3 linked regions of the Callithrix jacchus genome follow. The protein of the gene in region 1 interacts with the protein of each later gene in a pairwise test. Links are inferred from orthologs where the notes say so. Each region holds a gene or a part of one and is shown on either strand. Other genes may lie near its edges.

Region 1 (3,746 bases):
CTCCCGAGTAGCTGGGAACATAGGCAAGGGCCACTGCTACACCTGGCTAACTGAACATTTGTCTTGCTCTGTGGCTGAGGCTTGTCTGTAATTCCTGGGGTCAAGCAATCCTCCCGCCTCTGCCCCAAAGTGTTGGGATCACAGGCGTGAGCCACTGCACCAGACCTGAAGTCTTCATTTTGTTCACTGATGTATTCCAGGCTCTAGAATAGTGTCTGACACATGTTTTGGGTCCCTAAATATTTTTTGAATGTATGATGAGTATCACACATACTATCTTTATAATTATAAACCTAATATACAAAACAACGGCCGGGGCCGGGGCCCTAGAACTTTGGGAGGCTGAGGTGGGTAGCCTGCTTGAGCTCAGAAGTTTGAGACCAGCCTGGGCAGCATCTTTTTCTTTTTTTTGAGAAAGGGTCTCACTCTGTCACCCAGACTGGAGTGCAATGGCAGGATCTTGGCTCACTGCAACCTCTGCCTCCTGGGTTCAAGACATTCTCTTGCCTCAGCCTCCTGAGTAGCTGGGATAACTGGAGGACACCACCATATCCAGCTAACTTTTACATTTTTAGTAGAGATGGGGTTTTACCATGTTGGCCAGGCTGGTCTTGAACTCCTGACCTCAAGTAATCCCAGAATTTTGGGAGGCTAAGGCGGGCAGATCACGAGGTCAAAGGATTGAGAGCATCTTGGCCAACATGGAGAAACCCCGTCTCTACTAAAAATACAAAAATTAGTTGGGCATGGTGGTCCGCGCCTTTTGTCCCAACTACAGGGGAGGCTGAGGCAGGAAAATCGCTTGAACCCAGGGGGCAGAGGTTGCAGTGAGCCGACATCGCGCCACTGCTGCAGAGCGAGACTCCGTCTCAAAAAAAAAAAAAGCGTAGTATACAAAATAAAGCTAGGAATATTCCCTGAATCCTCCTGCCTATGGAATGAAGTCCACAGACTTGGAAGAGCGTTGAAGCCCCTCTAAAGCCACTCCCTTCCTCCAGCCTCTCGGCCCGTAGCTCAGCACTAGCAGTTCACTCCCGGCGATACCTCCCGCCGCCACGAGGAGACGCCCCAGCACCGCCCTCTGTCAAAGCCCAAACAATATTGCCACGTGACCCGCTCCGCATCCACGTGACCAGCGTCGCACGCGGTGGGCGTCAGGTGACGGGCTCAGTAGTTCTCCAATCGCTGTGCACGTTGTGGGGTTTCCACTTAGGGCTCGGTCTGAGGCTTGTAACACCACATTCTCCCCCAAGCCACAGGGGCAGTCTTGCCGCTGGCAGCTGGGTGGCGGTGTCTCTCAAAGGTCCTCTATAGGGGCTTCGTGAGGCCCAAGCCTACAGCACTCAGTTCCGGAAGTGACGTCTCCCAGAGGGGCCGGAAGTGGCAGTGGAGGGAGGGAAGATGGCGGAGGTGGTGAGTCCGGTGCCTGGGGCGGGGCGGAGGGAGCCAGGGGAGGTGGGTAGAGCCCGAGGCCCCCCAGTAGCCGACCCTGGCGCCGCGCTGTCTCCCCAGGGGGAGATAATCGAGGGCTGCCGCCTACCCGTGCTGCGGCGGAACCAGGACAACGAAGATGAGTGGCGTGAGTGACGTCGGGGGGCGGGGCTAAGGAACCTGAGGGCGAGGGGCGGGAGGGAGTCCACTGAACCCCCGGGATGGGGAGGGGCCTCTGGAATTATGGGGCGGGCGGGGCTCAGACACTCCGATGAAGGGGCGTGGCTCTTAGCTGCTATGAGAGGTACAGGGCGGGGTCTGGAAAGGGGTGGCACTTGTGACTGAAGGAGGCTTGGATGAGACCTTCCAAGTGCTGCAGCTTAGGGATCCGGCCTGGGGGTGGAGTTCAGGTCGTGGAAGGGTGGAGTCTCATGGCCTGGCCCGTCTAAGGTCCCTGCCTATGCTGTTCCCATAGCACTGGCCGAGATCCTGAGTGTGAAGGACATCAGTGGCCGGAAGCTTTTCTACGTCCATTACATTGATTGTGAGTTCTGGGCCTAAGGTGGGGCAGCAGGGTAGGGGGTTGGGGGGCAGTCTTTGGCATTCCTTCCTGAGCCATCCCCACTGCTACAGTCAACAAACGTCTGGATGAATGGGTGACGCACGAGCGGCTGGACCTAAAGAAGATCCAGTTCCCCAAGAAAGAGGCCAAGACCCCCACCAAGAACGGACTTCCTGGGTCCCGTCCCGGCTCTCCAGAGAGAGAGGTGGTGAGTAGGTCCCCCACTTCACCTCATCTCTCCTGCCTCCTATTTCTCTTATCTGTTGGCATTTAGGGGCTCCTGGATGGGCAGGAGGCGGCATCCTCTTACCCTGACTTCAGCTTGCAAAAGATGGGGGCCAAATTGCACATGTAGCTCCCAGAGTCCAGTAGTTAGTCCTGTGTCCTTCAGAAGGCAGAGGGTGGGGTTTGATAATTTTAAGCTGAGGGGCCCCTCTTCCCCTTCCCCATCCCACTGCCATCCCCGCCCCAGAGGAAGACCCTGGACCTATCTCTACAGCCGGCCTCGGCCCAGGCCAGCGGGAAGACCTTGCCAATCCCGGTCCAGATCACACTCCGCTTCAACCTGCCCAAGGAGCGGGAGGCCATTCCCGGTGGCGAGCCTGACCAGCCGCTCTCCTCCAGCTCCTGCCTGCAGCCCAACCACCGCTCAACGGTACCCTCAGCAATTCCAGGGACCTTGCTTTCTTCTCAGGTCCCACCTTCTCTACCCTCTGACCCACCTTTGTTGGTTTCTCTCTGCAGAAACGGAAGGTGGAGGTGGTTTCACCAGCAACTCCAGTGCCCAGTGAGACAGCCCCAGCTTCGGTTTTTCCCCAGGTGAGTTCCCCAAACCATTTCTTGTTCCTTTCCTCTCTTCTGCCCTCTGGTGGCCCTTTTCAAGCTCATCTCACAGTCATCCCTTCTTTTCCTGGTATCTCATCTGCAGAATGGAGCAGCACGTAGGGCAGTGGCAGCCCAGCCAGGACGGAAGCGAAAATCAAATTGTCTGGGCACTGATGAGGTGGGTCTGGGGAGCAGCAGAAGGGAGCTGCGTGAAAAGGAAGGGATGCAGGCAGGGTGGAGAGTTATTTAGTGATGAGTATAAAAATGAAGGGGTGGTGGACCTGGGCAGGGCTAGTGTTGGTAGGATTAGGAGCCAGGCAGAACATGGTTCAAATGAATCATTGGGGCTGGGCACCATGGTGCACACCTGTAATCCCAGCACTTTGGGAGGCCAAGGTGGGTGGATCACCTGAGGTCAGGAGTTTGAGACCAGCCTGGCCAACATGGCAAAACCTCATCTCTACTAAAAATAAAAAAATTGGTTGGGCACAGTGGCTGACACCTGTAATCCCAGCTCTTTGAGAGGCCAAGGTGGGTGGGTCATGAGGTCAAGAGATTGAGACCACCCTGTCCAACATGGTAGTGAAACATGGTGAAACCCCATCTCTACTAAAAGTAAAAAATCAGCTGGGCCTGGTGGCGCACGCCTGTAATCCCAGCTACTTGGGAGGCCGAGGCAGGAGAAACGTTTGAACCCCGGAGGTGGAGGTTGCAGTGAGCTGAGATTACACCACTGGTACTCCAGCCTGGGAAAAAAGTGAGCCTTTGTCTCAAAAAAAAAAAAAAATTAGCCAGACATAGTGGCAGGCACCCGTAATCCCAGCTACTCCGGAGGCTGAGGCCAGAGAATCTCTTGAAGCCCGGAGGTGAAGGTTGCAGCAAGCCAAGATTGCACCACTGCACCTCATCCTGGGCGACAGAGTGAGAC
Region 2 (3,746 bases), about 51 Mb from region 1:
CAGATGTGAGCCACCACACCCAGCCCTTAAGACAAAATTCTTAACGTGGCCTAAATTTCCTGCTTAGTCTGGCACCTGCCTTCCTCGTCCCTGCTCCTGGCTTTGGTCACTCTGCTCTGCAGCCTCAGTGGCCTTCTTTCTGATTCCTCAAAGACATTATGTGGTTTCTTTCTACAACGTGTTTGCACATGATTTCCATGCTGCCTGGGACCTCTTCTCCTACTCTCTAAGTTGAATTAACTTCTACTCATCCATTTTATTTTAGTTCAAAAGTCGTGTTCTCAGAGAAGCCATCCTTGACCCTCTCTCCCTATCCCCAAAACCAGTTTAGCTGCTGCTCTTGATGTTCTCAAGGCACCATACAGCTTTTCTTCATGGTATCTAGTACATTTGTAATGTTATTCTTATTTGATTTTCCTCCTAGATTGTCAGCTCCGAGGACCCAACTCTTTTGCTCACAATTATATCTTCAGGACCTAACACAGTGCCTGGCATATAGTCGCTGCTCAAATCATATGTGTTGAATGAATAAGTGATTGGAAGCACTTTTCTTTTTTTGAAACAGAGTTTTGCTCTTGTTACCCAGGCTGGAGTGAGATGGTGCGATCTTGGCTCACCGCAACCTCCGCCTCCTGGGTTTAGGCAATTCTCCTGCCTCAGCCTCCTGAGTAGCTGGGATTACAGGCATGCACCACCATGCCCAGCTAATTTTTTGTATGTTTAGTAGAGATGGGGTTTCACTATGTTGACCAGGATGGTCTTGATCTCTTGACCTTGTGATCCACCTGCCTCGGCCTCCCAAAGTGCTGGGATTAGAGGCTTGAGCCACCGCGCCCGGCCGGAAGCATTTTTTAAAGCAACACTCTGGGTGCTGTGTTGAGAATAGTTAAAGGAAGGTAGGCAAGAGGGTATGCTATTAAAGGAGTCAAGGAAAAAAAAAGGTGGTGGCTGGGATTAACTTGGGTGGCAGTGGGAAAAGAGTGAAATGAATGGATTTGAGAAATATTTAGGGAGTGGATGTGACAGAACTTAGTGAAATGAGATGCAGAAGGTGAGAGGGGGTTAATCTTGAGTCTTGCTCATGACTCCAGATTGGCAAATAGCCATTTCTGAGATTTGAAGGAAGAAGGGATTTGGAAGTAGGGTACAGAGAAAACCAGGGACAATAACTCAACTTGGAATCTATAGGTTTGGAATTCCTGTTTGTCTTTCAGGGAGATGTCAAGAGGGCAGCTGGATATATAAGTATGGATTTCAGGAAAGACGTCTGAGCTGGATACATATATTTGGGACTCATTAGCATATATATGAAATTTGAAGCTTTGGGAGTGAATAAAGTATCTGGGGAGAAAGAACAGAGAATGAAAGAAGACAGCTCGGGACAGAGCCAAGAGCCTCGCCAGCATCTAAAGAGAGAAGGAAGCAAATGAGATTGAGAAAGCAGGCAATGCTGCAGGACAGAAAGCAGGAAAATGCTTCAAGGAGAGAGAACAGACCCCACGGAATACTATTCAGAGGTAAAGAAGATAACAGCGAAGTGTCCACTGGAGTTCTCCACCAGGAGATCTCCAGTGACCTTGCCATGGACAGTTTCAGTGGGTGTCAGGGACACAGAGTGGAGTGATTTTAAGAATGAATGGGAAGTAAGGAAATGAAGACAGCAAGCGTAGACTCTGAAGGGTGGCGAGAGCTAGGACCATAGCGGGAGGGGCTCAGAATGCAAGAGATACACAGGCAGACTCAAAACAGGTTAGGAATTGGCAGTGGGAAAACTGCTCCTAATGAGTGTTCCTGCCAGTGCTAGGCCCTGGCTGAGCTGGGGACACAGCCGCCCCAGGGCACACCCCTCGGTCGCTGAGGGCAACAGAATGCCGCTTGACAGATCTGGCCTGGGATCCCTGCTGGAATCGGCGGCAGCAGCGTCCGGCCAGCCCACCCCACCCCAAGTCCCCTTCCCGGCCCTGGGCCTCCCCTCCCCCAACCCCCACCGCCCCTCGCTTCGCGTCCTCCATACCCGCCCCTAGTCACCCCGAGGGGCAGGAGGTAAAGGACAGCGTAGGGGGCGATGTGAGGACCCGAGGGGACCATGCGATGGAGGGTATGAGAGGACGGTCTACAGGCGCGCGGTGGGAGGGCGGCCCGGGGATGGGGGATGGGGCCCGGCCCGGAGACCCCGGCTACTGCGGTGAAGAGGCGTCAGGGTCCACCGGCCGCTGGGGATCGGGGCGCAGCCACCCCGGCTGGGCCGGGGCAGGGACAGCTCCTACCTGCGCGGCGAGGCCCCGGGCCCAGATGACGGAGGTGGCTCAGGCTGCGGGGTTCGGGCTTCGCCGCGGCTTCTCCATCACAACATCCCCCGCCCAGGAGCGCGCGGGCGGCGGGGCCGCGCCCCGAGCGGCGGAGGCGCGCGCAGAGGGAGGGGGAGGGGCGCCATCTTGGGGCGGGCGCGGGAGCGAGCTCGGCAGGCGCGGTACTTGCCGCAGCTTCCTGGGGGCCTCGCTCTGCAGGAGACCCTCTGCCCTCCGTGAGCCCCGCGGTCCAGCCCTCCCAGCAGAGATCCCTGCAGCCGCTTCCCTGGGACCCCTGCCTAGCGCGGCGCCGTCCTCCACTACGATGCCACAGACTCACCCTGCGCGCCCCGTAGGGCCCTGGCCCCGCACCCCCGCGGGCAGACGCGCGGACTAAGCTGGAGCCCCGGTGGCGGTGGCGGTGCGGGGACCGCGGCCGCGTCCGGAGGGATTCCGGGGAGGCAGCCTGCTCCGCTCCTGCTGCACTGCTCCCCGACGTCCTGATGGGGAGGCTCTGAGGACACAGCGTTGCTGATAATAATAGCTCCTATTTATTGACCACTTACACCGGGTCGGGCTGTGTTAAACTGCTGATGCGCATTAATCTTCACATCGGCCCTGTAAAATCACCAGTTTTATCCTCATTTTTCAGAGGCTAATGCTAAGATTAAGACAGGTAAAGCGACTTGCCCGCAGTCACAGCGACAAATTCAGACTGGAGCTTCAGTGATTCTTGACACTGAACTACCCCTGCTGCTGAGCATAAAACTGACATCAAGGCCTGGAAAATGTCAAGAATACATTTCTCCCCTGTGGAAATTCACAGGGAAGGGGAGAGTGTGAATGAAGAGTGTAAAGATGTAAAGAAAGATGGTGGGGTGCAACATTTACTACAGACCCTCCTTGGATAATAGAATACATCCTAGTGGTCAGATCAGTAAACCAGAGGCCATCAAGGATAATGAGGGGTTACATTACCATCCAGAAAGCCTCTAAATACTACCCCCTCTAAGGTGCCTAAAACTAAAGATGTCCAAATCTTCGCTCGTTCTTTATTTTTCTTTCTTTCAAGGCAGGGTCTCGCTCTATCACCCAGGCTGAAGTACAGTGGCAGGATCACGGCTTTATGAAGTCCCAACCTCCAGGGCTTAGGTGATCCTCCCACCTCAGCCCCTGGAGTACCTGGACCATAGGCACGCTCTACTGCACCTGGCTTTTTGCATTTTTAGTAGAGATAGGGTCTCACTGTGTTCTCCAGACTGGTCCAGAACTCGTGTGCTCAAGCAATCCTCCCACCTCAGCCTTGCAAAGTGCTGAGATTACAGGCATCAGCCACTCCATCTAGCTTGAATTCATTATTACATCCCCCTTCATTAGTCATCTAAGGAGTTTCTCTGGGGTGAAAAAGAAACTTCTTCAACACACACACACACACACACACCCCACAACAACAACACA
Region 3 (3,660 bases), on another chromosome or scaffold:
TCAATATATTCATCACTTTCTTACACCTATCATTAGTCAAACCTGGGCCAAATTCAGGGAGTACAATGCTGAATAATATACTCCACTCTTTCTTCCTCATAGAAAAAGTAACCTTAGGGGTCTCAAAGGAGGAAGAAAGTTTGGAAATTAAGGCCAATTTGTCTCCAATTTAGCATTGTTACCTTTACTAGTTGGGTATCTTAGCAAACTGGGGAAACTTGGAAACCTTGATACTTGGGCATCAAGTCTAAAAGCCTCTCAGCAGATTTCAATTGCAACAGTAAACTGTGATACAGTATGTTTATGCATTTGGGCTCATATGGCTATAACGTGCTAAAAACATTGATTTGAACTGCAAAAACAATGATCAGAAACTTGCCTCAATATAGTGTTATCAATTTATAAACTATTAGGCAGGGCATGGTGGCTCACACCTGCAATCTCAGCGCTTTGGGAGGTCAAGGTGAGCAGCTCACCTGCAGTCAGGAGTTTGAGACCAGCTGGGCCAACAGGACAAAACCTTGACTCTACTAAAAATACAAAAACTAGCCGGTTGTTGTGGTGGGAGCTGGTAGTCCCAGCTACTTGGGAGGCTGAAGGACGAGAATTGCTTGAATGCGGGAGGTGGAGATTCCAGCAAGCCAAGATTGCGCCACTACACTCCAGCCTGGGCAACAGAGTGAGACTCTCTCAAAACAAAACAAAACAAAACAACCTATTAATTAGTCATACTATTTTCTAAAAGTCATGCTGTTAACTAAAGGTGACTGCAATTGTCCAGGGGTGATAATCAGCTGAGTTTAGTTTCACATGGTTATTAAATAGTATGAAATATGGTTCATTCAAATGCTTTAAAAACCATACCTTTCTAATTCATATTTTTTAAATCATGTATCAAATGAAGAATAGGCTGCCTACAAAGACAAGTAAATGAGTCAACTCAAAAGCTTCCTCGCTTTTCCAGCCATGACCCAGTCCATTCCAAATCCCAGATCTGCAGAAACATCAGTCATATTGGGACAGAAACTTCACTCTGGGCATAGATGTACCCTAGCACATATATAATGGATTTTCCAGTGTATTTAAATAAACTATTATTTAGTCACACTATTTCCTAAAAGTCACACTATGAACTAAAGGTGACTGTAATTATCTAGGGGTAGTAACTGGCTGTTTAATTTTTAAATACACTGGGACCCAGCTTACTGAGTTATATTGGGACAGAAACATCCATCTGGGTGTAGATTTACCCTAGCAGCTTGTCAGCAGGATCCTTTTATTCCTAGTTGCACAAGCAAGGTTCAGAGAAGAGGCTGGCACAGAGAAGGTGCCTGGTAACTGTTGTTTGGGGCTGAACTCAGCTCAACTCAGCTCCAGTAGAGATGGTGCTCCCTTTTCTATCATGTTGAGAGCCTGTGCAGACCTTGCCTAAGCGCTGCTACCCACTACAATGGGACCTGTGAGTTTCAACTTTTAAATTTCTCTGCTCCTGCTGGGACCTACCCACTTCAAAAATCGTCGTGTGGTTTTAGCATCAATTTAGTAAATACAAATTGTTAGAAATATTTTGATTTTAGAGAGTTACAGTCACCACATTAAATGATACATTTCTACCATGCAGTGAAAATGAGGACAAAATGGTCACTAGATACTGAAATTAATTTTCCCTTGGGCTTCTGTGGCAAAGCACATGATTTTAATGGTTATCTTAGATCAGCCCAGTGACCTTTACTGGCATGTTGTAACATCAGGCGCCTTAGGAAACTGAAAACTCAAATCATCACTACCCATACCACTGCCCCAGGTTAGCAGGGCAGGCATTTCACATCTAGAGCCTCATTTTAAATACAGACAGAGCAAGCCTCGCTTTTCAAAAAGTTCATTAACAAAGTCTCACAATTAAGAGAGCAGCCGTGTGACTCATTTTTGGATACCCGTAAATAACAACTCCTCCCTTTGCTGAGAAACGGCTGAAACAAGTGCGTGAGAACCACAGGAAGTAATACAGAGCTCAGCTGGTGTCAGAGGAGTCTAGAAAAAGGCAGAATTCCCTCTTGGACAGAGTGGTTCTCGCAGGATTGCCACTACCCTTCCTCTCCATTTTTCTAAAACAAAGTCTTATGTGGGCTTTGAAGGGACTGCTCCAAGGCTCTATCAATTTCTCCGTCTCTCCCGGCTTCTGGGTGACAGTGCCAAGTTCAAGTCAAGAGGTACCCATTCTGGTGTTTTTGACACAGTCACCCTAATAGGAAATGAAGAGGTGATAACAAAGAAACACTTCAGCCTTTCAACTTAAAGGTAGTCTTAGGTGGACGCTTTATAAAGGCAGCCTACCAACGGGTATCCCTAAAATAATTCCTATGAAGCGCTAAATTCTCAGTCCCTTGGCCTCTGAAATTAAAAGTAATTCAAAAAATATCATTCCGCTTTATATGAGAAACCCAGTGCTGTGTTCTCGAAGGTGCCCAGAGGCGGCGTGAGGCCCTGCACCAAAACCCACTAAGGCACCGCCGCGGATCCGGAGCCCAGACAGTGTCCCCGCCCCGGCCCGCCCACCTCCCCGCACTCTCCGCGCACCGGGAATAGGTAGAGAAATGGGGAGCTCAGGGACAGAAAAACAAACCAGTACCCGGAGCGAGAGTTCGAACCGAGAAGCCCCTATCCCGGCCGGGCGCTCGTCCCCCGTGGGCGCCGCGTTGGGGAAGGAAACCTGTTGCGCGACTCCCGGCGGCTCGGCTCCCGGCGCCTCCCGCGTCCCCTGCGGCAGAGGCTGGGCTCCTTCACTGCGGCCCGAGCTCCGCCCCGCCGCGGCCGCATCTGGGCGCCGCCGGCTCTGCCCTAGCCGCTTAGGAAGCGACCACAGCTGGGGACAAGGCCCCGCCCCGGGATGACAGCGCCGGGGCGCGGCGGCTCGCGGAGCGCAGGTTCCCGCCCCGCCCGGAGTCCCTGCGCTCGGGACCGCCCGGAGCCGGGGACGCGCTCCAGCACCTCCCGTACGTCTCGGGGAGTTCCCGCGGGCGGAGCGGACCCTCGCGGGGAGTGGGAGGTTTGCAGCCAGAGGCACTTCCTCTGCTCATCCTCCGGTTCCTAGGGCAGGGAGCGCGGTGGACTTTCCCCGGGAATCCCCGCTGCGCTGATGACATTTGCCGTCCGGTGCGTTTCCGCGGCGAGGACGGTGGAAGCGGTCTCTGAGCGTGGGTGTGGCTGCCGAGGCTGCAGCAGGTCCTGCACCCCCTGGACCTTCCAGGAGGCGGGCAAGGAGCCTGCGGTCACACAGCGGCCGACCACCGCCTTCCCAGAACCCGGCGGCCAACCCCTCTCCAGTCGGCCTCAGGACCCTACGGGCTCATCATTCCCTGGATATTAGCTGAGCGTCCCCTTGTGTGCCCAGGGTACCACCGCTCTCAAAAATACTGCCAAGACCCCCCCTCCAGGTCCTGGCACTTTAATGGGGAGACATAAACAAAGTGTGGATTGTGCCAGGTGGCGGTAAGCACCTTGAAAAACAAAGGTGAGGCTGAAAAGTAAGTGAGATTCAAAAAGGGAAATCGGGCCAGGCGCGGTGACTCGCGCCCATAACCTAGCACTTTGGGAGGCTGAGGTGGGAGGATCGCTTGAGCCCAGGAGTTTGAGACCAGTCTGAACAATATGGTGAAAGCC

The links.
Region 2: the proteins of KAT5 (region 1) and APBB1 interact in binary tests that used the Homo sapiens proteins (3 or more experiments, as listed by UniProt). The link is inferred for Callithrix jacchus from reciprocal best matches to the Homo sapiens genes KAT5 and APBB1.
Region 3: the proteins of KAT5 (region 1) and STX11 interact in binary tests that used the Homo sapiens proteins (3 or more experiments, as listed by UniProt). The two-hybrid records come from large-scale screens. The link is inferred for Callithrix jacchus from reciprocal best matches to the Homo sapiens genes KAT5 and STX11.

What each region holds. Positions count from the first base shown.
Region 1 is NC_133511.1:122,803,511-122,807,256, forward strand, and holds the start of KAT5 (histone acetyltransferase KAT5), read left to right. Parts: upstream 1-1,382; 5' UTR 1,383-1,401; coding exon 1,402-1,579; intron 1,580-1,906; coding exon 1,907-1,975; intron 1,976-2,064; coding exon 2,065-2,201; intron 2,202-2,465; coding exon 2,466-2,648; intron 2,649-2,737; coding exon 2,738-2,812; intron 2,813-2,921; coding exon 2,922-2,996; intron 2,997-3,746. UniProt on the Homo sapiens protein: Catalytic subunit of the NuA4 histone acetyltransferase complex, a multiprotein complex involved in transcriptional activation of select genes principally by acetylation of nucleosomal histones H2A and H4.
Region 2 is NC_133511.1:72,104,898-72,108,643, forward strand, and holds the start of APBB1 (amyloid beta precursor protein binding family B member 1), read right to left. Parts: upstream 2,377-3,746; 5' UTR 2,268-2,376; intron 1-2,267. UniProt on the Homo sapiens protein: Transcription coregulator that can have both coactivator and corepressor functions. Adapter protein that forms a transcriptionally active complex with the gamma-secretase-derived amyloid precursor protein (APP) intracellular domain.
Region 3 is NC_133505.1:150,902,793-150,906,452, reverse strand, and holds the start of STX11 (syntaxin-11), read right to left. Parts: upstream 2,836-3,660; 5' UTR 2,630-2,835; intron 1-2,629. UniProt on the Homo sapiens protein: SNARE that acts to regulate protein transport between late endosomes and the trans-Golgi network.